Stegostoma tigrinum: one gene and its partners. The protein of the gene in region 4 purifies or fractionates together with the protein of the main gene of each other region. This does not show direct contact. Links are inferred from orthologs where the notes say so. Each region holds a gene or a part of one and is shown on either strand. Other genes may lie near its edges. The genes, in order: polr3k, polr3f, polr3c and polr3h.

Region 1 (7,855 bases), on a different chromosome or scaffold from region 4:
TACATGTTTCAATAAGGTCACCACTCATTCCTCCAAATTCAAATAAGCACAGGCCTAACCTATTCAACCTGTCCCAGGCAACGTGGTCTCAGAAGGAGAGATTGAATTATCTAAATGTGATGAATTTTGAAACACAGTCTGTCAAGAGTAGCTTTGAGAGCGATTCAGAGTTATTTCTCTCTGCAGAGAGCAAAATTTTAAATGAGATTTTGTGCCCACAGTGTCACGAACATCTGGCTGGGCTGCTGGGAAATCCTTGGGATCTCTCGACCTGCTTGATCTGATATTGGATATGCTCTATGTGATGTTCAACCAATATTTGGCTGTAAACCTAAATATACTTCACATTAATTATGGCTGTCAAAGCTGCATGCACGTTATAGACTGTATTACTTTCCTAACCTTGTAAAGTCAAGTTTATTTTATTTGTTTAAAAACAGAATCCTACAGCATTAATCTTAGTGAGTTCTTGCAACTTTAAACTTCATGTACTTAGTGTTTAAAGTTACTGGTCCCTAACCTGGTAACATAAATTTGACAGTCTTGCCAAGGATCTATGACAGCTCTTAAGATAACTTAGAGAAGGAAGCTGCTATAGCGAGATCCGCACTTGTGTCTTTAGGTTAAAGTTGCCCCCTGCTACAAATATGAGTTTGGCGATAGCAAGAACTGCAGATGCCGGAGTCAGAGTCATCTGGAGGAACACAGCGGTTTGATCAAGGGTGTGAACCCGAAATGTCGACTTTCCTGCTCCACAGATGATATCTGACCTGGTGTGTTCCTCCAGCTCCACACTGTATTGACTACAAATATGAGTTTGTTTTGTTTAGGACTGTGTCTTTAATGCAAGGTAGAACAAAGCTGTTCTGACATCTCGATCCAAGATTGAGGGAGCAGCTAGTAAGCAAAAAGTCTGAAAGTGCTGGAACCATACTGGAATCATGCTTGGATGGAAAAGATCAAACTCACAGGGAGACAACATGAGGCTGGGGAACCACTTAGGGCTACAGAAAGCGTGTCTCCAGAAAAATTTAAAAAAAATTATTTCTCAGGGCTAAGAATAGAAACAAAATGTTGAAGAAATTCAAGTCTGACAGCCTCTGTGGGGAGCAAAATGGGAATATTTCAACTCTGTGAGACTTCTCTTCAGAAGTAGGCTGGAAAAAATGATTCAGAGATAGTAGATGCTGTAGAATCTGAGATAACAAGGTGTAGAGCTGGATGAACACAGCAGGCCAAGCAGCAGAGGAAAGGGAAGGCTGACGTTTCAGACCTAGACCCTTCAGAAAAAAAATGAAGACGGGTCTCGGCCCAAAACGTCAGCCTTCCTGCTCCTCTGCTGCTGCTTGGTCTGCTGTGTTCATCCAGCTCTACACCTTGTTATGTCTGGAAAAAATGATAGTTGTTATGTTGTTGGAAATGGAACAGGAAGAGCAAGCTGGGAATGCACACCAGAATAAAAGATGAAGAGAATGTGCATGGAGGGAGAGAAATGATACAGATGAAGTGTAGGTGTTATTGGTAATGGTAAGATGATCCAGGTATTTCCAACAATGTTTTTAGTTCAGCTCTCCAGCATCTGCAGTACTTTGCATTAACCCTGGTATCCCAGTATCACTTTGGATTGATCCTGGGAATATTTAATGCCTACATGAAGGAAAGTGTAAAGAATATGTTTGAACTGTGTTCTCTTCTTCAGTTTTGCTCAGAATAAGGGCTTTATGGGTTATGGTACATGTTGTCTTTCAAGAAAATGTATTAGTTAAGTGTCTTCACTCATTTGTTACAATATGTCTTAAAATGTGAAATCTCAGTGCATCATTCTCTGAGCAATGAACCGGAATTTTGAATTATCTTTTAAAATGGTGGCTCAGCGGTTAGCACTGCAGCCTCACAGCACCAGGGATCCAGGTTCGATTCCAGCCTCGGGCGACTGCCTGTGCGGAGTTTGCACATTCTCCCCGTGTCCGCGTGGGTTTCCTCCGGGTGTTCCGGTTTCCTCCCACAGTCCAAAGATGTGCAGGCTAGGTGGATTGGCTATGCTAAATTGCCTGTAGTGTTCAGATGTGCGTGGGTTACAGGGGGATGGATCTGGGTGGGATGCTGCAAGGGGCGGTGTGGACTTGTTGGGCCGAAGCGCGTGTTTCCACATCATAGAGAATCTAAGTAAAAGCTAAGGATCTCTGTAGGGAATGTTACACAAAACAACTGTGTAGAATAATGCAAGCTATCACGTGACCCATATTACCCAACCTCATCTTTCACGTGACAAGTTGTTTTAATTACCATACCTGCTGTAGAGTCAACATTTTTCCAAGCAGCAGCTCCACCTAACACATCATCGACTTCCTTAAGCTTGGGATATTTTCTGCTTGTTACCTTCAATACAAAGGAAAAATATCACTTGTTATTTTGCACACAAGCAAGTCAATAAAGTGAGTTCAAAGGAAAGTGCCCTGAACACAGTCATTATTGATTTCCAATTTACATTAGTCTCTAAAGTATCACATATTTCAGCCATTTCCCATTCATCCAGGTATAAACATTTTCAACAAGGTACAATCAGCTTAATAAATACGTTTGTGTATGAATAAAATATCCTCCACCACTCAATCTCCTTCCTCATCGATACCCCACCCCATTCCCTACATCCCACTCTCCCCTCCCCCTCTGCTCTCCATCCCCCCCCTTCTTTCTCTGATGAAGGGTCTAGGCCCGAAACGTCAGCTTTTGTGCTCCTGAGATGCTGTTTGGCCTGCTGTGTTCATCCAGCCTCACACCTTGTTATCCTAACCTTCTCCCATCCTGCTTTCCTTCATTTCCGACCCCCTTCTCCGGCCCCGGCCCCTAAGTCTCGTCCCCCACCTTCCGGGTGACGTTGTGAACGTACGGACAGGTGTTACACGCGAAACGATAACATTTCTGTCCCTCCTCCACAATCAGGACGTTCCCGCAGGTCGGGCAAAAGAGCAGCATCGCCGGAACCGGAAACAGAAACACTGCCCAGAGCCTTCTCACCGTGCGCCCGGATTTTGGTTCCGGGGGTGGGGGAAGGGCTGGTGCGGACCACGAGGCCTCGGAGAGAGGGAGGAACAGAGACAGTGCGTGCTCGTGTCAGGATCAGGGTCTGGAGTCCGTTTGAACAAACTCTGTCCGGCTGGGGTCGAGGGGAGGGTGTGCAGGCACAAGGAGGGACAGAGATAGAGACAGAAACAGCACAGACAAAAACACAGAGAGACAGAAACAGAGAGGGGGAGAGAGAGAGAGAGACAGAAACAGACAGCAACACAGAGAGAGAGACAGAAACAGAGAGGGGGAGAGAGAGACAGAAACAGAGAGGGGGAGAGAGAGAGAGACAGAAACAGAGAGGGGGGGGAGAGAGAGAGAGAGACAGAAACAGAGAGGGGGGGGGGAGAGAGAGAGACAGAAACAGAGAGGGGGAGAGAGAGAGAGAGAGAGACAGAAACAGAGAGGGGGAGAGAGAGAGAGACAGAAACAGAGAGGGGGAGAGAGAGAGAGAGACAGAAACAGAGAGGGGGAGAGAGAGAGAGAGAGACAGAAACAGAGAGGGGGAGAGAGAGAGAGAGAGACAGAAACAGAGAGGGGGAGAGAGAGAGAGAGAGACAGAAACAGAGAGGGGGAGAGAGAGAGAGAGAGACAGAAACAGAGAGGGGGAGAGAGAGAGAGAGAGACAGAAACAGAGAGGGGGAGAGAGAGAGAGAGACAGAAACAGAGAGGGGGAGAGAGAGAGAGAGACAGAAACAGAGAGGGGGAGAGAGAGACAGAAACAGACACAGACAGCAACACAGAGAGAGAGACAGAAACAGAGAGGGGGAGAGAGAGAGAGAGACAGAAACAGAGAGGGGGAGAGAGAGAGACAGAAACAGAGAGGGGGAGAGAGAGACAGAAACAGAGAGGGGGAGAGAGAGACAGAAACAGAGAGGGGGAGAGAGAGACAGAAACAGAGACAGACAGCAACACAGAGAGAGACAGAAACACAGAGAGGGAGAGAGAGACAGAAACATACAGACAGAAACAGAGAGGGGGAGAGAGAGAGAGAGAGACAGAAACAGAAACACAGAGAGGGAGAGAGACAGAAACAGAGAGGGGGAGAGAGAGACAGAAACAGAGAGGGGGAGAGAGAGAGAGAGAGAGACAGAAACAGAGAGGGGGGGGGAGAGAGAGAGAGACAGAAACAGAGAGGGGGGGGGAGAGAGAGAGAGACAGAAACAGAGAGGGGGGGGAGAGAGAGAGAGACAGAAACAGAGAGGGGGAGAGAGAGAGAGAGACAGAAACAGAGAGGGGGAGAGAGAGAGAGACAGAAACAGAGAGGGGGAGAGAGAGAGAGACAGAAACAGAGAGGGGGAGAGAGAGAGAGAGACAGAAACAGAGGGGGAGAGAGAGAGAGAGACAGAAACAGAGAGGGGGAGAGAGAGAGAGAGACAGAAACAGAGAGGGGGAGAGAGAGAGAGAGACAGAAACAGAGAGGGGGAGAGAGAGACAGAAACAGACACAGACAGCAACACAGAGAGAGAGACAGAAACAGAGAGGGGGAGAGAGAGAGAGAGACAGAAACAGAGAGGGGGAGAGAGAGACAGAAACAGACACAGACAGCAACACAGAGAGAGACAGAAACACAGAGAGGGAGAGAGACAGAAACATACAGACAGAAACAGAGAGGGGGAGAGAGAGACAGAAACAGAAACACAGAGAGGGAGAGAGACAGAAACAGAGAGGGGGAGAGAGAGAGAGAGACAGAAACAGAGAGGGGGAGAGAGAGAGAGAAACAGACACAGACAGAAACACAGAGAGGGAGAGAGAGACAGAAACACAGAGAGAGAGAGACAGAAACAGACAGACAAACAGAGAGGGGGGAGAGAGAGACAGACACAGACCGTAACACAGAGAGAGAGAGAGAGACAGAAACAGACAGACACAGACAGCAACACAGAGAGAGAGAGACAGAAACAGACACAGACAGCAACACACAGAGAGAGAAACAGACACAGACAGAAACAGAGAGGGGGAGAGAGAGAGAGAAACAGAAACAGACAGCAACACAGAGAGGGAGAGAGAGACAGAAACAGCTCAGACAAAAACACAGAGGGAGAGAGAGACAGAAACAGACAGACAAACACAGAGAGGGGGGAGAGAGAGACAGAAACAGCTCAGACAAAAACACAGAGACAGAGACAGACAGCAACAGAGAGAGAGAGAATCAGAGAGAGAGAGAGTCAGAGATTAGGACAGAGAGCCAGACAGTGGGATGGATGGGGACAGACAGAAAGAGAAAAACAAGGATTGAAAGGGAGAGAAACAACAGCCACAGCAATTAACGTGGGAGAGACTATAGGAATGTGGTGTCATGGATTTCAGAGATTAAAAGAACAGACAGTAAATAAATCAACTCATCACAGCAGGAAGTGAGAAACAGGGAGAATTCAGGTCCTACTGTACACCGTGGATCAGTTTACAGTCAGAATGAAGGAGACTGCAGAATGACTAAGTTCAAAACCACAAATTAGAGCAAGTATTTTGGAAGAAACTACCTGTTTTCCAAGTGAGGCAGTTCCCGATCATTAAGTACTAAGGAATCATCTTATCCAAAACTCTTGACTGGATAGATCATCAGTTTCGCAGAATAGTTTATTTCCCAAGTTTTCCTCCATAGCCCTAAATACATTCTGCCATGGTGGTGGTGGATGCAAATACAATAGGGGCATTTAAGGGGATTTTAGATAAGCACGTATGTAAGAAAGGAATGGATGGATGTGGACCATGGGCAGATGGAAGGGATTAGCTTAACTTGGTGTCATGGCCGGCACAACATTGTGAGCTAAAGGGGCCGTTCCTATGCTGTACTGTTTTATGTTCTATATCTCCCGTTCCTCCCCCATCCCACACACACTACCTCTTTTCCCCCTCCATGCCCTATCATATCTCCTGTGTCCACTCCACTGTGATTCAGTACTGAGCTAGTTAGCAATTGGCAAGATTGACAAGTGTTTTAAATGCTAATGAGGCTAATATAATAAGCATGGAGGCTTTGAATATCTATTGTGAAAAAGAACTGAACTCACAGAATGGTTACAGCACAGAGGGTGGCCATGTTTGTATTGGCTCTCCAAAGTTGCAGTTTTCCCAGTGCTATTCCCTTACCTTCTCTCCATAACTCTGCACGTTCTTTTCCAGATAATAATCCAATTCTCATTTAAATTCCACTGAAAGATTCACTGAGGATGACTGAAGACATTAAGAAGGAACCACTTTCCACCAACATTAAGCAGGAAGAAAATTTTGCCGTAGTCAATCAAGAAAAAGCTGTAGAAGAGGAGGAAGAGTTATCGCATGCAGAAATCCTGGACCTATTTCAGGAAGGTCTGGCCATGATTGTCCAGGATCCATTGCTGTGTGATCTTCCAGTTCAGGTTTGTGGTTTATTTTAATCATAAGCTTTACACATTCACAATAATTACATTTTTATCAGTGATGATGTTTGATATCAAGAATGCGAATACTGTTTGATCAATGGAAATCTTTTTCTGGTCTTTTAATTGTACACAGAATGTGGCATTGCTGACTAGACCCAACATTTATTTCCCATCCCTAATTGCCGAGTGGGCAGTTGACAGTCAGCCACATCACTGTGAATCTCATGTAGGCCGGACCACATAGCATAGAGTCGTAGAGATGTGCAGCATGGAAACAGACCCTTCGGCCTGACTTCTGTATGCCAACCATATATCCTAAATTAATCTAGTCCCATTTGCCAGCATTTGGCCCATATCCCTCTAAACCCTTCTTATTCATGTACCCATCGAGATCCCACTTCAATATTGTAATTGAACCAGCCTCCACCACTTCCTCTGGCAGCTCGTTCCATACATTCTGTATGACAAAGTTTCCCTTCAAGTCTTTTTTAAATCTTTCACCTCTCACCTTAAACCTCTAGTTTTGGATTCCTGTACCCTGGGAAAAAGACCTTGGCTAATCACTCTATCTATGCCCCTCATGAATTTATAAACCCCTACAAGGTCACCTCTTAGCCTCCGATGCTCTAGGGAAAATAGCCCAGCCTATTCAGTCTGTCCGTGTGGCACAAAACGTCCAAGCCTGGCCACATCCTTGTAAATCTTTTCTGCACCCTCTCAAGTTTAACAACACCCTTTCCATAGCAGGGAGATCACAATTGAATGCCCAGATTTGCTTACCCAGAGGATTTTAGTTAATCAGATTGGATTTTACAATTGACAGTGTTACAACATTTTCAGTAGGCCAGCTTTTTATTCCAGATTTTCTGTTTAATTGAGATTTCATAATTTGACATGGTGGGATTTGTATCCATGTCTAGCAGTTCTGGATTACTAGCCTAATGATATTACCTGTGCACCACCACCTCCCCAAACATTAAGAATTGCAATACAGTGTCTTTGTGCCTGTAGGCTTTGTTAAGAATATAAACTCCTGGGTACGATCTGGCCAGAATAGTTTTCGCTAGGTCTAATTTCATTGTCCTTCAATAGGACAAGTAATTGTGTTAGATTTTAAAAAAAGTATGCGGGCAGAGACCCTAATATAATTTGTATACGATTCGTAAAAGACAAATTTGACATGAATTAAGATGTTTTTCTTTATAAATACAACCAAGTAAAATAGTACTCCAAATCCCTGCAGTGTGGAAGTAGGACATTCGGCCCATCGAGTCTATGCTGATCCTTCAAAGAGCATACCACCCAAATCCACCCCTCTCCCCTTCCTTTGTAACCCTGCATTTCCCATGGCCAATCCACCTAACCTGCACATCTTTGGACTGTGGGAGGAAAGTGGAGCATCCAGAGAAAACCCACGCAGATAT
Region 2 (7,321 bases), on a different chromosome or scaffold from region 4:
TGGGGAGTGGTGGTGGGAAGAGGGGACGGGTATTGGTGTTTATGTCCAGACGGGTAATTTGGGTGGAACTGAGAAGAAAGAAAAGAAATGACAAACCTTATTGGGATCGTAATATAGATGTCCCCGGTAAATCAGCAGGAAATTGAAAAAAGAACAACTTTGTACGGAGGTGTCAGTTATCTGCAAGAATAATAGGGTGGTTATGGTAGGGGATTTTAATTTTCCAAAAGTGGACTGGCACTGCCAGAGTGTTAAAGGCTTGGATAAAGAGGAATTTGTTAAGTATGCACAAGAAAATTTTCTTATTCAGTATGAGGATGTACCTACTAGAGAAGGTGCAAAACTTGACCATCTCTTGGGAAATGAGGCAGCGCAGGTGACTGAGGTGTCAGTGGGGGAACACTTTGGGGCAAGTGATGATAATTAAAATAGTGATGCAAAAGGATAGACTGGATCTAAAAGTTAAAAGTTTAAATGGAGCTAGGGCAATTTTGATGGTATTAGGCAAGAACTTTCAAAAGTTGATGGGGTCAGATGTTCGCAGGAAAAGGGATGGCTGGAAAATGGATAACATTCAAAATTGAGATAATGAGAGTCCAGAGACAGTATGTTACTGTTAGGGTGAAGGACAAGGCTGATAGGTATAGGGAATGCTGGATGACTAGAGGTTTCCATCAAGAAAAAGGAGGAAGCATACATCAGGGATACATAGTAGAGATCGAGTGAATCCCTAGAAGAGAGTATAACAACAGTAGGAATATACTGAAGAGGGAAGTCATGACGGCAAAAAGAGAGAGACAGGAACGTGAAATAGCTTTTGCAAATGTAGTTAATGAGAATCCAAAAGAAATCTAAAGTTACATTAAAGACAGAAGGGTAACTAGGGAGAGAATACAGCCACTTAAAAATCAGCAGGGCTACCTACACGTGAGACCACAGGAGATGGAGCAGAAACTAAATGAGTATTTTGCATTAGTGCTCATTGTGGAGAAGAATATGGAAGTTAGAGAACTTGGGGGATAAATAGCACCATCTTGAAAAATGTCCATATTTCAGAGGAAGAAGTGTTGAATGTCTCAAACACAAAATGTAGATAAATCCCCAGGACCTGATCAGGTGTAATCTAGAACTCTGGGGGATGCAAGGCAACAGATTGCTGGGACCGTTGCTGAGATACTGTATCAATAGCCACAGGTGAGGTGTCGTAAGACTGGTAGTTGGCTAATGTTGTGCCACTATTTAAGAAAGGAGGCAAAGAAAAGCCCGGGATTGTAGACCAGTGAGACTGGCATCAGTGGTGGGCTGAGACAAGGTCTTATTCCTGGGTGGATGTGTCTAAAGTTAGACAGCATAGGTTTAAGTTGAGAGCAGAGAGATTTTTAAAAAGAGACCTAAGGGGCAAAATTTTCATGTAGTGTGGTTTGTGTATGGAATGAGCTGCCAGAGGAAGTGATGGAGGCTGGTACAATTACAACATTTAAATAGCATCTGGATGGGTACACGAGTAGGAAGGATTTAGGGCCAAACGCTGGTAAATATGACTAGATTTATTCAGGATATCTGGTCAGCATGGATGAATTGGACTAGAGGGTCAGTTTTCACGCTGTATATCTCTATGCCTCTGCCTCTCAATCATTTCCCACTCCCACACCCCTCACTGAGCTTTTGATCATGAGGCTCCCCATCATATTTTGCTCTATAATGTCTGTGAAGTGCTTAAGGTTATTCCATTACATTCAAAAAGGTGCAACATGGAGAAGTTTAGCATCTGTGGAGAGAGCGAGACAACATTTTGAGTCAGGTATGCCTTCATCAGAACTGAAAACTGGAAATGTTTTTTTTAAAAAAATACTTTTTGACAAAAGACAGTCGATGAGCAAGAGCGAAGATTGTATGGAGGCCCAAAGCAAAATACAAGAGGGTTGTTAATAGTGGAAAAGATGCAAGGGTTGTATGGTGGCTTAGTGGTTAGCACTGCAGCCTCACAGCACCAGGAACCCGGGTTCGATTCCAGCCTCGGACAACTGTGTGGAGTTTGCACATTCTCCCCGTGTCTGCGTGGACTTCCTCCTACTGTCCAAAGATGTGCAGGTTAGGTGGATTGGCCTTGCTAAATTGCCCGTAGTGTTCAGGGGTGTGTGGGATGCTTCAAGGGGCGGTGTGGACTTGTTGGGCCGAAGGCCCTGTTTCCATACTGTAGGTAATCTAATCTAATCAAATCAAAATGTCAGCTTTTGTGCTCCTGAAATGCTGCTTGGCCTGCTGTGTTCATCCAGCTTCACACTTAGTTATCTTAAATCAAAATGTGAATTGAGATGTGAAAAGCAGCGAACTGACCCTTTCTACTAAGTGCAACGTAAGCAAGACAAACAACACGGCTAGGAGATGCGGCGAAGACAGAGGTTAAATACTCTCATTGCTCGAAGTCTTAAAAGCATGGAAATTTTCATAGCATCAGTGACGACCTTTCTTCACTCAGAATTTTTACAACGCGAAAACGGCCCCGACCTTGTCATCGTAGCCAACCACACAAAAACTACCTGCTTTCCAGTCCCACAGAATCTACTGCTTCTTGCTTCACTGTCACGTCAGCCATGATTTCAGTTGTACAGCATGACAATATATTGGTGGCTGAAGGGTTTGTTTGCGGATCTGGTCTGTAGCGGTGCTGACTGGCCCCCTCGGTCCGATATTGCAATTCTTGCGTTTCAACGTTGTATCAAACCTCAGCGTGAATGTTCCAAATTGCACGCTCACCCTCCAGCTCCGGGGTAAACGATCTACAGCAGCAAATTACTTCAGCCTCTTGAACTAGGGGACCTTTCATTCTGCAGTCTCAATCTCTTATTGGGCAAGAGATTCATTTGCCAGTCTACACTCCTCGCTTCCCGTCGTTAATTACAAGCAGTTTTTTTTTTCTGCTGCCGTATCTTACAAGACAGTTCTGAAAATAGTGAAAGACCAAAGAGGCACACGTTTAGTTCAATAGATAGCCTTCCCCAGCTCGACTTTTCTTCCTCTCCGGCAATCTGAGAAGCAGCTGTTTAATTTGAGCTGGGGCCTAACCAGGGTTTGGCGCTTTTGCGGACTCTGTTCGCCCTTTGAAACACAATCACGTGACAACACGTTTACCATCCCTCCGGGAGTAACCTGGGAGCGGAAAAAGGATGCATTAAAAATACATTAATTTAGTTTACGATTTAGCTTTGTTTTGCATGGCAAGTCGCTTTATGTAGGATATATTAATGGTGCAGCAAGGTTAAACAAAAGAAACTGGTCAGTAGACCCGAAACGTTAACTCTAAATTTTTCTTCAGAGGCTGCCAGATATGCTGAGCTTTTCCAGCAACCTGTTTTTGTAAACAAAACTGGATCTCATTCACTAGTTAGATTTAAGGCAATTTAATAACGGGAGCAAGAGTGAGGAAGAATAAGTGTAATGTGACTGAAGTTTAATTTCACATTAGGCGCACAAGAAAAAGGCGGGGGTGAGGAAGAGAAGGAGAAATTTCGGGTTAAGAGCAAGAGCAAACAAAGTAAAAATAAAATGCTTGTAAATAATTCGCTGAGCCACACAGTTACTCCCATCAATTTAACACTTACCGGATTAAAGTGTTGAGAGACTGATCACTAAACTTATCTTTATGTGGTGACTTCAGTTTTTATTACGGAATTGCAGCAACTTCACGCCACCAATAACTGTGAAGACAGCCGTTTACTTGAAACCAACTGGAGTACCATAACCCAGCAACCTTTTGGCTCTTTTAGTTTTTAATCATGCATCTTCTCCTCACCTGAAGCTATTTATGCAGAGCACCTACATTTTGTATTATTATTTATACAAGTTCCATTTGGAAGTTAGTCCAAAATCCAATTCCACCACCCCTTCAAGTTAATGCATTTCAGATTCAAATTCTCACATTAAAAAGATGGGACAAGGAACAAAGTTTTTTTGGGGAATACAAATAAATCAATCACTGGTAATCTAAATATTTGTCAAAAAAATTAAGCATTAAGATACACTGGATACTGCAAAGGCTAGAGGCCCTGACAACGTTCTGGCAATAGTACTGAAGACTCATGGTCCAGAACTTGTTACTCCCCTAAGCCAAGCTGTTCCAGTATTGTTACAACATTGGCCTCTAACCAAAAGTGTGGAAAATTGTCCACAAATGTCCTGTACACAAAAACAGGACAAACCCAACCCAGCCAACTACTACTCCATCAGTCTATTCTCAGTCATCAGTAAAGTGATGAAAGGTGTCATCAACAGTACTATCAAGCAGCACCTGCTCAGTGACAACAAGGTGTAGAACTGGATGAACACAGCAGACTGAGCAGGAAGGCTCATGTTTCAAGCCTAGACCCTTCTTCAGAAGTCAGGGAGGGGAAGGGGGCTCTGAAATAAATAGGGAGAGAGGGGAGGGGGGGGGGGTAGAGGATGGAGAGATGAGAAGATAGGTGGAGAGGAGACAGGCAGGTCAAAGAGGCAGAGATGGAGCCAGTAGAAATGAGTGTAGGTGGGGAGGAGATAGGTCAGTCCAGGGAAGACGGACAGGTCAAGGGCGTGGGATGAAGTTAGTAGGTAGGAGTTGGGGGAGGGGCTTGAGGTGGAAGGAGGGGATAGGTGGGAGGAAGGACAGGTTAGGGAGTTGGAGACGAGCGGGGCTGACTGTGGAATGTAAGGAGAGGGGAAATTTTGAAGCTTGTGAAGTCCACATTGATACCATTGAGCTGCGGGGTTCCCAAGCGGAATATGTGTTGCTATTCCTGCAACCTTCAGGTGGCATCATTGTGGCACTGCAGGAGGCCCGAGGTGGACATGTTGTCTGAGGAATGGGAGGGGGAGTTGAAATGGTTCGCGACTGGGAGGTGCAATTGTTTAGTGCAAACCGAGCATAGGTGTTCTGCAAAGCAGCCCCCCCCCCAAGCCTCCGCTTGGTTTCCCCAATGCAGAAGAGGCCATAACGGGAACAGCGGATGCAGTATACCACATTAGCAGATGTGCAGGTAAACATCTGTTGATGTGGAAAGTCTTCTTGGGGCCTGGGATGGGGGTGAGTGAGGAGATGTAAGGTCACGTGTAGCGCTTCCTGCAGTTGTAGGGAAAAGTGCTGGGTGTGGTGGTGCCGGAGGGCAGTGTGGAGTGGACAAGGGAGACACAGAGAGAGTGGTCCCTCCAGAAAGCAGATAAGGGTGGGAAGGGAAAAATGTGGAGTGGTGGGGTCGGATTGCAGATGGCGGAAGTGTTGGACGCTGATGGGTTGGATCTGGAGGTTGGTGGGGTGGTATGTGAGGACGAGGGGGATTCTGGTTTGGTTGTTATTGTTGAGAGGGGGTGTGAGGGATGAGTTGCGGCTGACACGATCGAGGGTGTTCTCGACCACTGATTGGGGGAAGTTGCGGTGCTTGAAAAATGAGGACATCTGAGATGTACGGGAGTGGAATGCCTCATCCTGGGAGCAGATGCGGTGGAGATGAAGGAATTGGGAATAGGGAATGGCATTTTTGCAGGAAGATGGGTGGGGGGAGGTGTATTCTAGGTAGCTGTGAGAGTCGGTAGGTTTGAAATGGATCTTGGTTTCTAGGTGGTTGCCAGAGATGGAAACAGAGAGGTCCAGGAAGGAGAGAGGGGTATTGGAGATGGTCCAGGTGAACTTAAGTTTGGGGTGGAAGGTGTTGGTGAAGTGTATGAACTATTCAAGCTCCTTGTGGGAGCATGAAGCAGCGCCGATACAATGATCAATGTAACGGAGGAAGAGGTGGGGTTTAGGGTCAGTATAGGTAGGTAAGAGGGATTGTTCCACATAACCTACGAAGAATTCTCGGTTCGCACTAAACAACTGCACCTCCCAGTTGCAAACCATTTCAACTCCCAGTTCCATTTCTCGGACGACATGTCCATCCTGGACCTCCTGCAGTACCACAACAATGCTACCCAAAGGTTACAGGAACAGCGACTCATATTCTGCTTGGGAACCCTTGTTTGTTCAAATATGAGCAAAACAGCTGAATTCCAGAGGTAAGGTGAGAGTGTCAGCCCTTGATATCAAGACTGCATTCAACTGAGTGTGGCATCAAGGAGCCATAGCAAACTTGGAATCAATGGGTGTCAAGGGGCAAACTCTCTAGTGGTTGGATTCATACCTGACACATAGAAAGATGGTCATGGTTGCTGGAGGTCAATCAAGGTGAGTAACTCATCTGACTCCTCAAAGCCTGTCCACCATCTACAAGGCACAAGTCAGGAGTGTGATGGAATACTCCCCACTTGCCTGGATGAGTGCAGCCCTAACAACTCTCAAGAAGCTTGACACCATCCAGGACAAAGCAGCCCACTTGATTAGCACTACATCCACAAGTATCCACTCCCCCACCACTGATGCTCAGTAGCAGCAGTGTGTACTACCGACAACTTGCACTGCAGAAATTCACCAAAGATCCTCAGACTGCACCTTCCAAACTGACAACTACTTCCAACTAGAAGGACAAGGGGATCAGCCATATGGGAAGACTACAACCTCCAAGCCACTCACCATCCTGACTTGGAAATATATTGCCGCTCCGTGACTGTTGCTGGGTCAAAAATCCTGGAATTCCCTCCCTAATAGCATTGTGGGTCAACCCACAGCAGGTGGACCGCAGTCATTCAAGAAGGCAGCTCATCACCACCTTCTCCAGGGCAAGTAGGAATGGGCAAGAAATGCTGGCGAGCCAGAGATGCCCAAATCCCACAAATGAATAAGGGAAAAAAATGGTTTGATACAGCTTTAGTGAGGGAATTCCAGATCTTCAGATGTAGACAGCCTGAAGAAGGTTATTACCAACAAAACTTCTCAAGACTATAAAGTGTGCAAAGAAAACACATGGGTCCATTATGGAAAGAATAAAACAACAATCAACAGGTATTATTACATTTTTATTGAACTTTGCTTGCATAGTTGGAGTACTCCATCCAAATTTTGGTCTTCACATTGCAGGAGGGATAGTGAAGTACTGAATAAATGCAGAAAAAAAAACACTGGGGTGATCGGATTTACAGAATTAACCAGATGTTGATATTAGAAAAAATGATCTAGTGATTGGTATAGACAGGTACAATGATTTTAGAAATAAAGGGCTGAGTAGACCGAGGAGAGGTCTTAAAATTGTAAAACGGCTCAATAGGGCAGATGGGGGAAACTGTTTCCACTTGTGTGTGAGTACACAGCGAGGGGGCAAAAATATACGATAGCCAATAACAGGTAAAATAAAGTATTCAGAAGATTTCCTTTACACAGAAAATGCTGAGAATGTAAATTCTAAATGCGATGATTGAAGCA
Region 3 (7,885 bases), on a different chromosome or scaffold from region 4:
TGCTGGAACCTTTCTCTCTACAACTCCCTGGTCCACCTACAACACCACACCACACTGCCACAGCACCTTCCCCTCCAATCACAGAAGGTGCAACACTCATCTGCTTCCTTCCTCGCTTCTCACTATCCAAAGTCCTCGGCACATCTTGCAGCGATTTACTGCACTTCATTCAATCTAGTCAACTGTATTCACTGCTCACAATGAGGTCTTCCATTCTGTTTGTAAAAGTGACCCTGAGCTTCCCCACCCTGCCATGTTCCCTGGCCGAAATCTCTGTGTCAGGCTTGCTGCAGTGCTCCAGCAAAGCTCAGCACAAGCTGGAAGTAGAACACCTCATTTTCTGCTTAGGGACCCTGTAGGACTCAATACTGAGTTCAATAAGTTTCTATGTCCTTTAGCAAATCCCACACCCCAGGACCTATCATGGCAAAGGCTGCTTTTAGCAGAGCCAACATTTTCATTCACTTATCACTCACCCAGTTATCAGCTTTTCTTTCTCTCTAGTTTACTATCAGCCATCTCGTTGTCCCTCAGAGCTCCATCTCCACCAATCCTCTCACTCCTTCTCTTACTCTACCACCCCATTCCCCCATCTTCAGCATACAGACCACCTGCTCCCAGTTACTATCGGTTCGGAGGAAGGTTCACTGGACCCCAAGCGCTGACTCTGCTTTCTCCTCACAGATGGCGCCAGGCCTATTGGGTTTCTCAAGCAATTTCTGTTTTTGATGAAGGAAAAGCTTCCCAGCTTTGGACAAGCCTTGAATGAAAGCAGAGAGCAGGTTTGTGACACCTTACCAACAACACTGAGATGGGGCACAGTGTACATCTCTTTCTCATCAGTGACCAGTGTTGGAGCATGAGGGGGCTGCAAGCCTTCAGCAACCACACACTCAGAGACCAGGGCACATTTCTGCAGGAAGTGGGTCTGCACCAATCGGATGAAGGTATTCGAGGTCTCACTGTGTTCCCCGGTTTTACTGTCTGTGCAGAGGAAGAGCCAAGGACGTGAGAAACACTACCCAGATGAAGCATTAGCCAGTAAGACTGTGCTCACCATTCAGAACAATAACAACCCCACCCCCTCACCCCCTGCCTACCGTACACAACTCCCCCTCCCCCCTCCCAGCCCCAGCATACATGACTCGGCCTCCCCCACACAACCCCACCGTCCGCAACTTCCCCTCCCCTCACCCCCTGTCCACCGTACACAACTCCCCCTCCCCCCCCAGGCCCAGCGTACACGACTCCCCCTCCCCTCCACACGTGGGCTCCCTCATCCCCACAGTATGCAGGCCCCCACCACACACACCACCTCCTCCCACCATCCCGTATGTGGCTCCCCCTCCCCCCACCATACACAACTCCTCCCCTGTACAAGACCCCCTCTTACACATCCCCTCAGTCTGTACACATGCAACCCCCACCCTGATCCCAGTATAGTCTTTGCTACTGATCTTTCCTTCGTCACAAACTCACATATACTCCCTGCCAGGATCCTCTTTCCCCTCCCCTCCCCTCCTCTACATTCGAATGCTAGTTGCAGCCTCCATCTCTTCCTTCATGCACTCTCACCTTCCATTGTTTCTCTCAGCCTGTCGGCCACTTTCTTCACAACTGCACTCATTGTCATCTTGCCATTCTGCAGCAGTTCCTCCACAATCAGCTCCCCTGTGTCTCCGTACAGTGTCTTAGCTGAGTAGATATAGCGTGGGTATCGCAGGATGCGAATGATGTGTGCACAGTGCACTTCATACTCTACAAAGCCCCTCTTGTGCACATGATAGGAAGCAAAGTTGTGGTGGATCAAGACGCAGAGAGCTTTCTTAACCTGGAACATTGCAGTACGACAGTCAAGGTCCCTGTACACCAAACTTTCCCCTCTACATGTACCACTGACACCCGTCTGCTAGCCAAGGCCCAGTTTCCAGCCATGCTGTGATCTCACCATGTCCCACTCCTCATCCTGTCAATGGCACACACAGAGTCTGGAAATTTATGTGGCCAGCTATAGTAAGCTTTTCTCTTAGCTATGGAAGAGTCTGATCAGCTATCTCAGATTGGTGCCATTCCTTCAACTCCCATCAGCCCTTAGCAGCAAACTGCACCACCACACCCCCTCTCTACCAGCACCCACCCGCCACCCCCGACCCCACACAAACACACACCTGATCAATCGGCGTTTCAGTATCTTTGGCAATTAGCCGGAGAGGCTGGCATCCTGTGCGAATTAGGTGGGTGCCAACTTTGGCTACAATTTCACCGTAGTGTGCCTGGAGCAAGCAGGAGCAGATCTGTGACTCAACGTGTGTCATTCCTGATTAGGTTCAATCTCATCAGAGTCCGTCCTGCAAAACCACATGAATCACTACTAATTCAGTAACAACTTCGAAGTCAGAGACTGCTAAAACAATACCTTCAGTCTGAGGAAAAGAAAACAGCAGGAAAAAATGTGAAGGGAACAGGAACAGACAGTGCAGCAGAAACTCAGAAATTCCGGCAGTGCCTGGCAGAGAGAAGCAGAGTTAAAGCTGTCAGTCTGAATCTGACAGGTTCTGAAGGGGACTGGAAACAGTGACTCTGCTTCTCTGTCTCCACAGTTACCGGTGGAGCTGCTGAGTTTCTCCAACACTTCACTGTTTTCATTGCAGACTCCCAGCATCACAGTATTTTCATACGAAGTGGGCTAGTGACATTCAGACAGCCGACAGGAACAGGATGGAGGGAGCTTCACTCTGCATCTAACCCCGTGCTGTCCCTGTCCCTAGGGGTGTTTGATGGGGGACAGTGTAGAGGGAGCTTTACTCTGCATCTAACCCCGTGCTGTCCCTGTCCCTGGGAGTGTTTGATGGGGGGACGGGGGGTGAGGGGACATCGTGTAGCCGAAGCTTTACTAAAGCTAAAACTCACTGCAATCTACGAAGTGCTCTCCCTCCTTCTATTTCCCTCCTGGGACCAAAGCCCCCACTTCCTCACGGTCCCTTTCCGGTAGTGATGGTCTTTATGTTCCGGATACTTTGGTTCCTACTGACCCGATACCGCAGGAACATCCGGTTTGTGCCCCGCACCAAGATGGCGGCGTGCCCCCAACCTCATAAATTCCAGAGTCCACTTCCGGGTAGCTCGGGGCTTTCCGGGAGGGCGCTGACGTCAGCGGATAAGATGGCGGAGGCGGCGGCTGTGTCTCCGCTTCGCTTCTTCTGTCACTGCTGCAAGGGAGAGGTGTGCCCCAAGCTACCGGTAAGACAGGCCCCGAGCCCAGCGTATACTGCCTCGTCCCCCTTGCTCCGGGAAACTGCTGGTCTTCACCGGGGAGGAATCACTATCAGTCAACCCGAGCCTCAGGAGGGGGAGGGGGATACTCCGCAATCTTAACCCAATCCGCCGCTCCTCATGGTCACCATGGAGACTGATCCCCCCACCCCCCCCCATGGTCACCATGGAGACTGATCCCCCATCCCCATGGTCACCATGGACACTGATCCCCCCCCACCCCCCCATGGTCACCATGGAGACTGATCCCCCATCCCCATGGTCACCATGGACACTGATCCCCCCCACCCCCCCATGGTCACCATGGAGACTGATCCCCCATCCCCATGGTCACCATGGACACTGATCCCCCCCCACCCCCCCATGGTCACCATGGAGACTGATCCCCCATCCCCATGGTCACCATGGACACTGATCCCCCCCACCCCCCCATGGTCACCATGGAGACTGATCCCCCATCCCCATGGTCACCATGGAGACTGATCCCCCCAATCCCCCATGGTCACCATGGAGACTGATTCCCCCCATCTCCGTGGTCACTATGGAAACTGATACCCCCAACCCCACCATGGTCACCATGGAGACTGATTCCCCCCAGCCCTCCATGGTCACCATGGAGACTGATCCCCCAGCCCACCATGGAGGCTGACCCCCCAGCTCTCCATGGTCACCATGGAGACTGATCCCCCAACCCTCCATAGTCACCATGGAGACTGATTTCTCCCATCCCCATGGTCACCATGGAGACTGATCCCCCCCCCAACCCCGCCATGGTCACCCTGGAGACTGATCCCATCATTCCCATGGTCACCATGGAGACTGATTCCCCCCACCACTGAAGACTGAAGGAGACTTAACACCCCGCTACATCCCATGGGGACTGAACACGCGCCCCCGACATTCCCAGGGTCACCATGGAGACTGAACCATCCCTCAGTGCTCATTGTGGTGACTGTCTGTTCCCCTTACCCCTCCCACAGTCGCCATGGAGACTGAGCTCTCCATACCATGGTCATCATTGGAGATTAATCTCCCCCATCCCATGGTGACCATCTCCATGGAGACCTCCATCTCCCATCTCCTCCCAGTCCAGAGCTGACAGTCTTCAAATACATTTTATTCCTCCTGGTGCAAAGCGAGTCCTAGCCAAGGCTTTCCTCCAATGAATTATGTTCTTGCGTTCAAACATTGGCCCAGAGTTATGTTTGCTTTTGCAAGGGTTGAGTGTGATGGTTGTGTTGATTATGGCCCTTGTAATAGGATGGGTACATCAAATTACTCAGTGAGCAACTCAGTAGTGGTCTGAATAATTGTGCAAAATTTGATGGTGACTGTATTGTGGAGACTGACTAAATGCTTGGACTGCCTTAAACAGTGATGCTTATGGAATGTGGAACAGGCTGTAATTCTGGATGTTAAAAATATGAATGAGTTTAAATAATAATGATGTTAAATCGATATGCTCTTAAAATTCTAGTTTCTAACTATCTGTTTTGATGTCAGAAGGTCCTTCACACTGTCAACCAGTAACCCATCTCCCCCCGAACCCATGTTACTGACTGCATCTCTTCTGATATCATCAAACTCCCTTGCATTGTCATTCCGTAACCCTTCTTCTTCCCAGCATTAAAAATGTAACTGACTGTATCTCCATCAAAAGTGGTCCACCTCCCACTTCCCCAGCGCTTGGTGTTCCTGATTCTATCTGTACTGATAATAATCCAGTTACAGTCACTCAGTAACAATTCCGCCGGGTAGTGTCCTAGGTCCAACAAGCTTCAGTGACTTCATCAATGGCCTTCCCTTCATCATAAGGTCAGAGTGGGGACATTAACCAATGCTTGTGCAATGTTGAGCACCATTTGTCACTCAGTAACCCCTCACCCCGAAACAGTCTGTGTCCAAATGCAGCAAGACCTGGACAATATCCAGGCTTGAGCAGAAAAGTGGCAGATAATGATCACGCCACATAAATGCCAAGCAATGAGAGACAATCTGCCCACTGCCCCTTGGCATTTCCATCACTGAATCCCCTGCTGTCAACATACTGAGAGTTATCATTGGCCAGAAACTCAGCTGGATTTGCCATATAAACACTGTGGCTAGAAGAGCAGGTCAGAGACTAGGAATACTGCTGCAAGTAACTCCCCAGGGACAAGGGCAGCAGACAACGTGGAAACACCAACACCGTCTGCAAGCTCTGCTCCAAGCCACTTACCATCCTCGCTTGTAAATATATCACTGATTTTCACTGTCACTGGGTCAAAGTCCTGGAACTCCCTCCCTAACAGCATTGTGGGTCTATCTGTAGCAGCTTAAGAAGACAGCTCATCCAACACTTCTCAAGGGCAACTAGGGATGGGCAACAAATGATGGGCGAGTCAGCAACACCCACATCCAATAGGTGAATAAAATTAAACTGTTTTCCCCAGCGCCCTGTGTCAGTGACTGTATCTCTGCTGATGTTAATCCAGCACTCTTAGTATCTTTAAAATTATTAATTGGTCTCTCTGTCCAAGTCACCTCAGATGTATTCAATGTGTTAGTGTTACTGTTTTTATTTTGCTTTTGCTGAGGTTCATCTTAGTTTGATTCCTTCCATTTTATTGATGAGCAGCCTACAAGATTTAATAATTTCCACTGAATTTCCTGTCTCTGAATTCAAATTGGACTCAGTTGTTATCTGATAGAAGATTTTCAGTTCAGTTTGAAACCAAGGTGGAACCAAGTCTTTGGAAACTGGTCACAGTTCAGCCTTCCGGGGTTTGTAAGATAGAAATATCTGTATGTTGAAACTTGATTAGGCTCTCAGGCCAACTCTGCTGAAAGAAATAGGGAGAGACTTATAGAATCTTGGGTTACTTTCTATTGACCACTTCAGTCTGAAAAACCGAAAACTAAGTCCAGAAAGGATTGATAAGCCGCCAATGGCAGAGAGCTCCCAAAATTTTGTCAAGCCTGGTTATTCCAGCAAACAAAGGTCATAAACCATTTCTCATGTCGCTCAAAACATTGCTGGTCTTTTCTGCAAAGTCACTTGTCGTCTGAAAACAGCAGGCCATAAAATCACTAACATCATTTCCAAGAAATCTTGGGGTAAAACACCTCTTCAAATCAGAATCTATATAATTTCTGGTTTTCCTTCAGTCCCTAAGTATAAATTTGCATTTGTAACGTTACTGTGGATGCATTTTATTGTTTCTAGAAGGTGATGGTGAACTGCCATCTTGAACTGTTGCAGTGCGTGTGCTGTAGGTTGATCCATAGTGTCCTCAGAGTAGGAATTCCAGGATTTTGACCCAGTGACAGTGAAGGAACAATGATATATTTCCAAGTCAGGATGGTGTGTAGTTTGGAGGAAAATTTGCAGATGGTGGTGACCCCATGTATCTGCTACCCTTGCCCTCCTCAATGGAAGTGGTCATGGGTTTGGAAGGTACTGTCTAAAGATCTTTGTTGAATATCTGCAGTGCATCTTGTAGGTAGTACACACTGCTGCTGCTATTCTCAGTGGATGCTTGTGGATGTAGTGCCACTCAGAGGTGCTGCTTTGTCCTGGATGGTGTCAAACTTCTTAAGTGCTGTTGGAGTTGCACGAATTCTGGAAAGTGGGGATATTCCATCACACTCTTGACTTATGCCTTGTAGATAGTGGACAGGTTTTGGGGAATTGGGAGGTGAGTTATTCACTGGAAGATTTCTAGTCTCTGACCTGCTCTTATAGTTGCAGAATTTATAATGCTGGTCCAGTTCAATTTCTGTTCAATGATAACCCCAGGATGTTGACTGCATGGCATTCAGTGATGTTAATGTCATCGAATGGCAAGGTTGTGAGCAGATTGTCTCCTATTTGAGACGGTCATTATCTGGCATTTGTGTGATGTAAATGTTATTTGCTACTTGTCAGCACAAGCTTGGATATTATCCAGAACTTGATGCATTTCAACATGGACTGCTTAAGTATCTGAGTAGTCATGAATGGTGCTGAACATCCCCACTTCTAACCTCATGATGGAGGGGAGGTCATTGTTGAAATAGCTGAAGATATTTGGGCTTAGGACACTACCCTGGAGAACTCCTGCAGAGGTGTCTTGGAGCTGAGTTGACTGACCTCCAACAACCACAACCATCTTCTTGTGTGCCAGGTTTGACTCCAACCAGCAGAGAGTTTTCCCCTGATACCCATTGCTTCGAGTTAGTTTGGATTCTGTGATGCCTCAGTCAATCAAATGTGACCTTGTGTCAAGGGCAATCACTCTTGCTTTACCTCTGGAATTTTGCTCTTTATCCATGTTTGAACCAGAACTGTAATGAGGCTGGGAGCTTAATGGCCTTCATGGAACCCAAATTGAATGTCAGTGAGTAGGTTATTTCTGAGCAAATATTACTAGATAGCACTGTTGATAACACCTTCCATCACTTCTCTGATGACCTAAGAGTAGATTGATCAGGAGGTACTTGGCCAGGTTGAATTTGTCCTGCTTTTTGTGTACATAACATACTAGGGTAATTTTCCACACTGTTGGGTGGATCAGTGTTGTAGCTGTACTGGAAGAGCTTAGCTTAGAGTCTGACAAATCCTGGGGCACAAGTCTTCAGCACCATTGCTGGA
Region 4 (7,683 bases):
ACCAATTTCTGTTTTATTATAAATTTCTTGCTTTACTAATTTTTGCTGTTATTGTATTGCTTCTTTCCATATTAATCCTCCCAAAGGGCATCATGTCACACTTACTTGCACTGGACGTCATGCTCCAAAACCTGATCATTATCATCTGAAGCTCAGACCTATCTTACATTCAGATCATCTGTAAACTTCATAATGCCACTTTCTGCACAAGAGCATAGGTCATCAATAACAACTTCAGGGTACAGGACCCAAAGGTCACCATGAGAGACACTGTTACAAGCTACCTCCCAATCTAAGAAGCATCCATCTCTTTGTAATGAGTAACTGCTTCCCATCACTGTGATAATTTTCTATCTACTTTGATGAGCCTAACATTTACTTCTGTGCTGCCATAAATTGAACGCTCCACTGCTACTTCTCCCGAATTCAAGGGGCTTTCATATTTTTGATAAATCTCCTACATGGCACTCAGGCAAATGCCTCCCAACAGTCTGTATGTACAATCATCACACTAAATGAATCAACCTTCTCTGCTACCTCATCAAAATCATTTTTCTAAGTCCCACATGAAACCAGGGGCTCACCCAGGTTCCTTTGACAGCACCTTCCGAACCCACGACCACTTCCATCTAGAAGGACAAGGGCAGCAGATACACGGGAACACCACGCCCTGCAAGTTCCCCTCCAAGCCACTCGCCATCCTGACCTGGAAATCTGTCACTGTTCCTTCAGTGGGTCAAAACCCTGGAATTCACTCCCTAACAGCAAACACCCCGCACCAAAAGGACAGCAGCAGTTCAAGAAAGCCGCTCTTTTCCAGGGCAGCTAGGGATGGTAATGCCCAGCAACATCCACATCCCATGAAAAATGAAAAGAACTGACAGGAAACAAATCAGCCTGGTCGCAGCTTTAACAAGAGGTTCTCCACCTTATTTGCTAGTTTTTTGTTCAGCTCTTCAGCAATGGCATCATTCAGCCTCCTTTCGAAAAGCCAGGGTGGGATCCGCACAGTATCCACCATCTCCACAAGGACGAACATGCTGCGAGTAGATAGGATCAACACACTGAGAAGGAAGGAGAAGAAATGACTTAAACACTGTTCACCATAATTGGGAAAAGTGAGGACACTCATGAAGTTAGTTCCTATAATAAAAAGGACTGCTTTTTATTTGAATTGACAAAAAGTCTTATTGATAATACAGCATTAAGTCACAGTGCGATTAACCAACAGTCTATTTAAGTCATGTCATGCTGTACATCTATCTGCACCACTGGCAAATGCAAAGGAGGGTGCTGAACTATGCAAAGGACCTGCATTTTTGTAGCACTTTTATTATGGCAAAAATCCCAAGGCACTTCTCAGGAGCAGTTGCCAAACAAAATTTGATAGTAAGCCACATGGGGAGATAGTAGAGCAAATGACCAAGATCTTTCAGGAGTGTCTTAAAGGAATAGAGAGAGGCAGAAGAGTTTTGGGCAGGAATTATAGAGTTTGAGGCCCAGTCTCCTGAAGACTCAGCCATCAACAGTGAAGTGATTAAAATCAGGAATGCTCAAGGGATCAGAATTGGAGAAGCACAAGTATCTCATGTGTTTGTAGGGCTAGAGTAGAGAGGATTACCTAGATATAGAGAGCACGGCAAAGCCACAAAGGGATTTAATATCTTAAAAATCTCACCCTAATTTATGTCATTCCTTTGCCTAGGAGTCATCTGAATGTCAGCAAGCACCAGAGTGACAGGGGCACAGGACTAGGTGCAAAAAAAGAAACTGCTGTAAAAGCTCAGCAGGTCCAGCAGCTTCTGTGAAGAGAAATCAGAGTTAATGTTTCTGGTCATGTGACCCTTCCTCACAACACTTGACCTGAAACGTTAACTCTGATTTCCCTCTTCAGATATTGCCAGACGTGCTGAGCTTTTACAGCAATTTCTGTTTTCGTATGTAGTCCTGCACCCCTATCACTCTAGTGCTTGCTGACATTCAGGTGACTCCCAGGCTCACCACTATTCCAGAGCACTCCCAGTCGGTCACCCACATTCTACCCTCAGTTTGTCAGAGTTCATCCAGAACGGCTGTTCACGTCAATGTGCACTGAGTCCCAAAAGAACTGTAGATGCTGTAAATCAGAAACAAAAACAGAAATTGTTGGAAAAAGCTCAGCAGGTCTGGCAGCTTCTGTGGAGAGAAATCAGAGTTAACTTTTCAGGTTGAGTGACCCTTCCTCACAGTTCTCGACCCGAAACGTTAACTCTGACTTCTCTCCACAGAAGGTGCCAGACCTGCTGAGCTTTTTTCCAACAATTTCTGATTTACAGCATCTACAGTTCCTTTGGGACTCAGTGCAAGTTGAGATAAACAGCGATTCTGGACGAACTCAAGCAAGCCGAGGGTACAGGGCGGGTGACAGTCAGGGACTCTCTGGAATAGTGGAGTACAGGTAGGAATGAGGGTTTCTGCCGCAAATGAACTGAAGCTGAGACGTAATGGGGGAGGAAGAGGAGAAGGAAAGCATCTTATTGTATGTGAAGCATTTTGGTACGTCCTGAGGTCTTGAAGGGCGCTACAGAAATGCAGCTTTTACGGAGTGTGAGATCTATTGATTAAAATGCGGGGGGTCTGGGGAGGTGGGCGGTTTGGGCAATGCGCTGGCAGTCAGCTCCAAACTTACTGACTACTTTGAGAAACCTCCCCCAAAGAACTGACTGAGGTTCCCGAAAGTTACGGTCAGCCAAAGCCGCGGGGGGCGGGGGTAAGGCTCAGGGCCTCAATATTGGCAGCTTTGAGCCGGAGGGAGCGACTGCAGTCACGGGCCCCAGGCCTCGGAGCCAGGCGCCAGGCCCTAGGCCCCAGACTCCGGTCGCGTTCGCAGCAGCAACAGCCTCAACCATCCAGGTTCGGGGCCGAGCCTCTACCCATTTTCTATCCATGTCCCGCCGCCGCCATCGGACCTTCGCACGTTCCCATTCCGCGGCTTCCACTCGTTCAAATTCACTTTACGGCAGACGGTCGGGGGGGGGGAGGCGCGCGCGTTCTTTTTTACGGCAGGAGGTCACGCCATTAGCTTTTGCCGTTGAATTTTACGGCAGTTTGCGACGGCCCTGCCCCGGACACCCTTCAAGATGTTTGGACACCTGAGAAGGAGGGAGCTCAGCATTTGTCGAGTGAACAGGAGCGCACAGGTTTTACAACAAAGAACTTGAAGCGAATGCAACTGTATCGGAAACCAGTCATTTTTTTTCTCAAAGTGATGTTTTACTTTGGGTTGAACATCCAAAATCCAAAGTGATTGAGCTGCGTGATCCCACAGCCAACAGATCAGATCTGAGATACCAAGGTGTAGAGCTGGATGAACACAGCAGGCCAAGCAGCATCAGAGGAGCAGGAAAGCTGATGTTTTGAGCCTAGACGCTCCTCCTGTTCATCCAGATCTACACCTTGTTATCGCAGATTCCCCAGCATCTGCAGTTCCTACTAGATCAGATCTAACTCTGCAGTCCTGCTACATCCAGTGTGAATGGTGGTGGACAATTAAACAACTCACTGGAGGAGGAGGTTCCACAAATATCCCCATCCTCAATGATGGAAGGACCCAGTACATCAGTGCAAAAATAAGGCTGAAGCATTCGCAGCAATCTTCAGCCAGAAGTCCCAAGTGGATGATCCATCTCGGCCTCCTCCAGTGGTTGCCAGCATCACAGATAGCAGTCTTCAGCCAATTTGATTCACCCCCACGTGATATGAAGGAATGCTTGGAGGCACAGGATACATCATTCCACCTATAGTACTGAAGACTTGTGCTCCAGAACTTGCCACTCCCCTAGCCAAGCTGTTCCAGTACAGTTACAATACTGGTATCTACCCAGCAATGTGGAAAATTGCCCCCAAGTATGTCCCGTACACAAAAAAGCAGGAAAAAATCCAACCCGGCCAATTACAGCCCCATCAGTCTCCTCTCGATCATCAGTAAAGTGATGGAAGGTGTTATCAACAGTACTATCAAGCAGCACCTGCTCAGCAATTACCTGCTCAGTGACGCCCAGTTTGGGTTCTGCTGGGGCCACTCAGCTCCTGACCTCATCACAGCCTTGGTTCAAACATGGGCAAAAGAGCTGAAATGCGGAGGTGAGGTGAGAGTGACAGCCCTTGACAACAAGACCACATTCGACCAAGTGTGACACTAAGGGGCCCTTGCAGAACTGGAATCAGTGGATAGCGGCATGCAATCCCTCTGCTGGTTGGAGTCACACCTGACACATAGAAATATGGTTGTGGTTGTTGGAGGTCACTCATCTCAGCTCCAGGACATTTCTACAGGAGTTCTTCAGGGTAGTGTGCTAGGCCCAACCATCTTCGGCTGCTTCATCAATGACCTTCCCTCCATCATTAGGTCAGAAGTGGGGATGTTCGCCGATGATTGCACAATATTCAACACCATTCATGACTCCTCAGATACTGAAGCAGCCCATGTTTACATGCAATGAGATCTGGACAATATGCAGGGTTGAACTCACAAATGACAACAATATTTGTGCCACACATATGCCAGGCAATGACCATCTCTAATAAGATGCAATCTAACCACCACCCCTTGACATTCATTGGTGTTACCAGTGACTAAAAAAACTGAACTGTATTTACCCTGTAAATACAGTAGCTACTAGAGCAAGTCAGAAGCTAGGAACCCTGCAGCAAGTAACTCATCTCCTGACTCCCCAAAGCCTGTCCACCACCTACAAGGCACAAGTCAAGAGTGTGATGGAATACTCCCCACTTGCCTGGATGAGTGCAGCCCCAACAACACTCAAGAAGCTTGATACCATCCAGGACAAAGCCAGCTGCTTGGATCCACAAGAATCCATTCACTCCTCCACCAACGCTTAGTAGCAGCAGTGAGTACTATCTACAAATACATGTCAGAAATTCACCAAAGATCCTCAGACAGCACCTTCCAAACCCACAACCACTTCCATCTAGAAGGACAAGTGCAGCAGATACATGGGAACACCACCTTCAAGCTCCCTTCCCACCAGCATCCGGTCTCCCAGTGTCGATGTCCACTATCTTCGTTTAGTCAAAGGGAAGTTATATTTGACCAATCTATTAGAGTTCTTTGAGGAGGTGATACATGCAGTGGATAAAAGGTGGATATACTGCACTTAGATTTCCAGAAAACATTCAATAAGGTGTCACGTGAAAAATCATTGCGCATAAAAAAGCTCATGATGTAGTTGGTTACATGGATGAAAGACTGAGTTTCGAGAAAGGGTCACCGGACCTGAAACGTTAACTCTGATTTCTGTCCACAGATGCTGCCAGACCTGCTGAGCTTTTCCAGCAACTTCTGTTTTTGAAATCATAGATTCCTTATGGTGTGGAAGCAGACCATTCAGCTCAACGAATCGAAACTGACCCTCCAAAAAGCATCCCGCTCTATCTCTATAATCCTTCATTTCCCATGGCTAACCCACCTAACCTGTTCTCATATATTTCTCATGTACACCATCTCCAGTTCTTTCAGTTTTTATTTGGATAGAAGGCTGGCTGGCTGGTAGAAAACAGAGAGTGGGTACAAATGGGACTTTTATCAGTTGGACAAGATGTAACAAGCATTGTGTCGAAGAGATTGGTGCTGATACCTCAACCGTTTACAAATTTGGGTGAAGGGACAGATGGTGTGTTTGCCAATTTGCTGATGATATAAAGATAGGTGGGAAAGTATGTTGTGAAGAGAACATGAGTAACATGGGTGGCACGGGGCTCAGTGGTTAGCACTGCAGCCTCACAGCACCAGGGACCTGGGTTTGATTCCAGCCTCGGGCGACTGTCTGTGTGGAGTTTGCACTTTCTTCCCGTGCCTGCGTGGGTTTCCTTCGGGTGCTCCAGTTTCCTCCCACAGTCCAAAGATGTGCAGGTTAGCGTGGATTGACCGAACTAAATGCAGGGATAGGATGGGTGGGGGAATGGGATGCTTTTTAGAGGGTCAGTGATGACTCAATGGCTGAATGGCGTCTTTGTGCACTGTAGGGATTCCATGAGGATGCTGTGGATAGTTATAGATAGGTTCAGCAAGTGGGCAAAGATCGGGTAAATGTAATAAAATGTGAAATTGTCCATTTTGGCAAGAGGTCTTAAACAGAAGCATTATTATCTAAATGCTGAGAGATTGTAGAGCTTGGAGGTACAGAACAGATCTGGGTACCCCCATACCTGAATCGCAGAAGGTTAGTATGCAGGTGCAGCATGTAATTAGGAAAGCCAATAGAATGGGGGGAACTGAATACAAATGTAGGATGATTGTGGCTGAGTTATATAGGGCACAGTTGAGACCATATCCCGAGTACGGGGTACAGTACTATTCTCTGTATTTACGGAATAATGTAAAAGCATTGCAAGCAGTTCATAAAAGGCTTTACTGGGCTAATAATTGGGAAGGGAAAGGTTGTTTCTTGAGGGAAGGTTGGATGAGCTTTCTGCTGCAGAAGGATAAGAAGTGACTTCATTGACAGATATAAAAATCCTGAGGTGGGGGTGTGCTTGACCAGGCAGAGGTGGTGAGGATGTTTCCCTTTAGGAGAGAAACTGGAAAGACAGTGATTGTTTAAAAAAAAATTTAAAACAGAGATATGGACATTTCCTGTCTGTTTTCGAGAGCAATGAGGTTTTGGAAAGCTCTTCCTGAAAAGTTGCTGGAAGCAGAGTCTGTGAATCTTTTTAAAGCAGAAGTGGATAGCGGTGAAAGGTTATCAGAAGCGGATGTGGATTTGGAGTTAGATACGGATCAGCCACAATCTTATTGAATGGCAGAGCAGGCTCAAGGGGCTGAATGGCCTATTCTGCACTCAGTTTTACGTTGATTTGTTTTTGCTTCCACAGAAGCTCAGGATGCTGCGACGCCTCAGCCAGACCGAATACTTTTGGGTATAGAGCTGTCATCCATTTGATGAGAGTAGCCGACTCAACACAGATATCATTCACTTAGAGTCGAGTGTGTTGCTGACAGAACGAGCGTACACCAGGACTGTACTGTTTGGCTAAGTTAGTCTGATCACAGATCCTTGTGCAGTGCTTGATTGCTTCATCCTGTGAGTGATTCAAGTGATGGACACCGGACTTTCAGAGAAAATTCTAGACAGAGAGAGAGAGACAAGATCACAGAATTGTTACAATGCGGGAGAGCGTTCAGTCCATTGTTGCTTTTCAAATGTGCATTATAGTCTAGTGCTAATCTTCTACCTTGTCCCATCTCCCTGCACACCATCTCGATCCAAATAATCATCCACTGCTCCTCTTGAATACCTCAATTGAACCTGCCTCCACCACGTTTAGTGTACATAATTAATCAGTTAAAACCTTCTAACTGATTAAAGATTTAATCTGAGGTCTGTTTCATACAGAAAAACCAAAAGAACTGCAGATGCTGTAAGTCAGGAACAAAAACAGAAGGAAGGGTCTGTGGAAGGGTCACCAGACACAAAACATTAACTCTGACTTTTTCTTCACAGATGCTGCCAGACCAGCTGAGCTTTTCCAGCAACTGCTGAGACAAAAAGGTGCGGAACTGGACGAACACAGCAGGCCAAGCAACATCAGAGGACCAGGAAAGCTGACATTTTTCTGAAGAAGGGTCTAGACCCAAAACGTCAGCCTTCCTGCTCCTCTGAATCTGCTTGGCCTGCTGTGTTC

The links.
Region 1: the proteins of polr3h (region 4) and polr3k purify together in Homo sapiens (affinity purification with mass spectrometry; 3 studies listed by BioGRID and IntAct, with this or other methods). This does not show direct contact. The link is inferred for Stegostoma tigrinum from reciprocal best matches to the Homo sapiens genes POLR3H and POLR3K.
Region 2: the proteins of polr3h (region 4) and polr3f purify together in Homo sapiens (affinity purification with mass spectrometry; 4 studies listed by BioGRID and IntAct, with this or other methods). This does not show direct contact. The link is inferred for Stegostoma tigrinum from reciprocal best matches to the Homo sapiens genes POLR3H and POLR3F.
Region 3: the proteins of polr3h (region 4) and polr3c purify together in Homo sapiens (affinity purification with mass spectrometry; 5 studies listed by BioGRID and IntAct, with this or other methods). This does not show direct contact. The link is inferred for Stegostoma tigrinum from reciprocal best matches to the Homo sapiens genes POLR3H and POLR3C.

Annotation. Positions count from the first base shown.
Region 1 is NC_081376.1:5,098,685-5,106,539, reverse strand, and holds the start of polr3k (DNA-directed RNA polymerase III subunit RPC10), read right to left. Parts: upstream 3,001-7,855; 5' UTR 2,977-3,000; coding exon 2,866-2,976; intron 2,380-2,865; coding exon 2,292-2,379; intron 1-2,291. Other genes in the region: snrnp25 (U11/U12 small nuclear ribonucleoprotein 25 kDa protein), read left to right, coding at 6,240-6,428. UniProt on the Homo sapiens protein: Core component of RNA polymerase III (Pol III) which synthesizes small non-coding RNAs using the four ribonucleoside triphosphates as substrates. Can mediate Pol I proofreading of the nascent RNA transcript.
Region 2 is NC_081362.1:22,718,590-22,725,910, reverse strand, and holds the start of polr3f (DNA-directed RNA polymerase III subunit RPC6), read right to left. Parts: upstream 3,012-7,321; 5' UTR 2,597-3,011; coding exon 2,541-2,596; intron 1-2,540. UniProt on the Homo sapiens protein: DNA-dependent RNA polymerase catalyzes the transcription of DNA into RNA using the four ribonucleoside triphosphates as substrates.
Region 3 is NC_081400.1:582,317-590,201, forward strand, and holds the start of polr3c (DNA-directed RNA polymerase III subunit RPC3), read right to left. Parts: upstream 3,013-7,885; 5' UTR 2,911-3,012; intron 2,349-2,910; 5' UTR 2,316-2,348; coding exon 2,169-2,315; intron 1,832-2,168; coding exon 1,576-1,831; intron 985-1,575; coding exon 799-984; intron 1-798. Other genes in the region: rnf115a (E3 ubiquitin-protein ligase RNF115), read left to right, coding at 3,163-3,240. UniProt on the Homo sapiens protein: DNA-dependent RNA polymerase catalyzes the transcription of DNA into RNA using the four ribonucleoside triphosphates as substrates.
Region 4 is NC_081391.1:6,524,963-6,532,645, forward strand, and holds the start of polr3h (DNA-directed RNA polymerase III subunit RPC8), read right to left. Parts: upstream 3,016-7,683; 5' UTR 2,949-3,015; exon of another isoform or gene 2,913-2,948; intron 2,889-2,912; exon of another isoform or gene 2,669-2,888; intron 1,065-2,668; 5' UTR 1,040-1,064; coding exon 929-1,039; intron 1-928.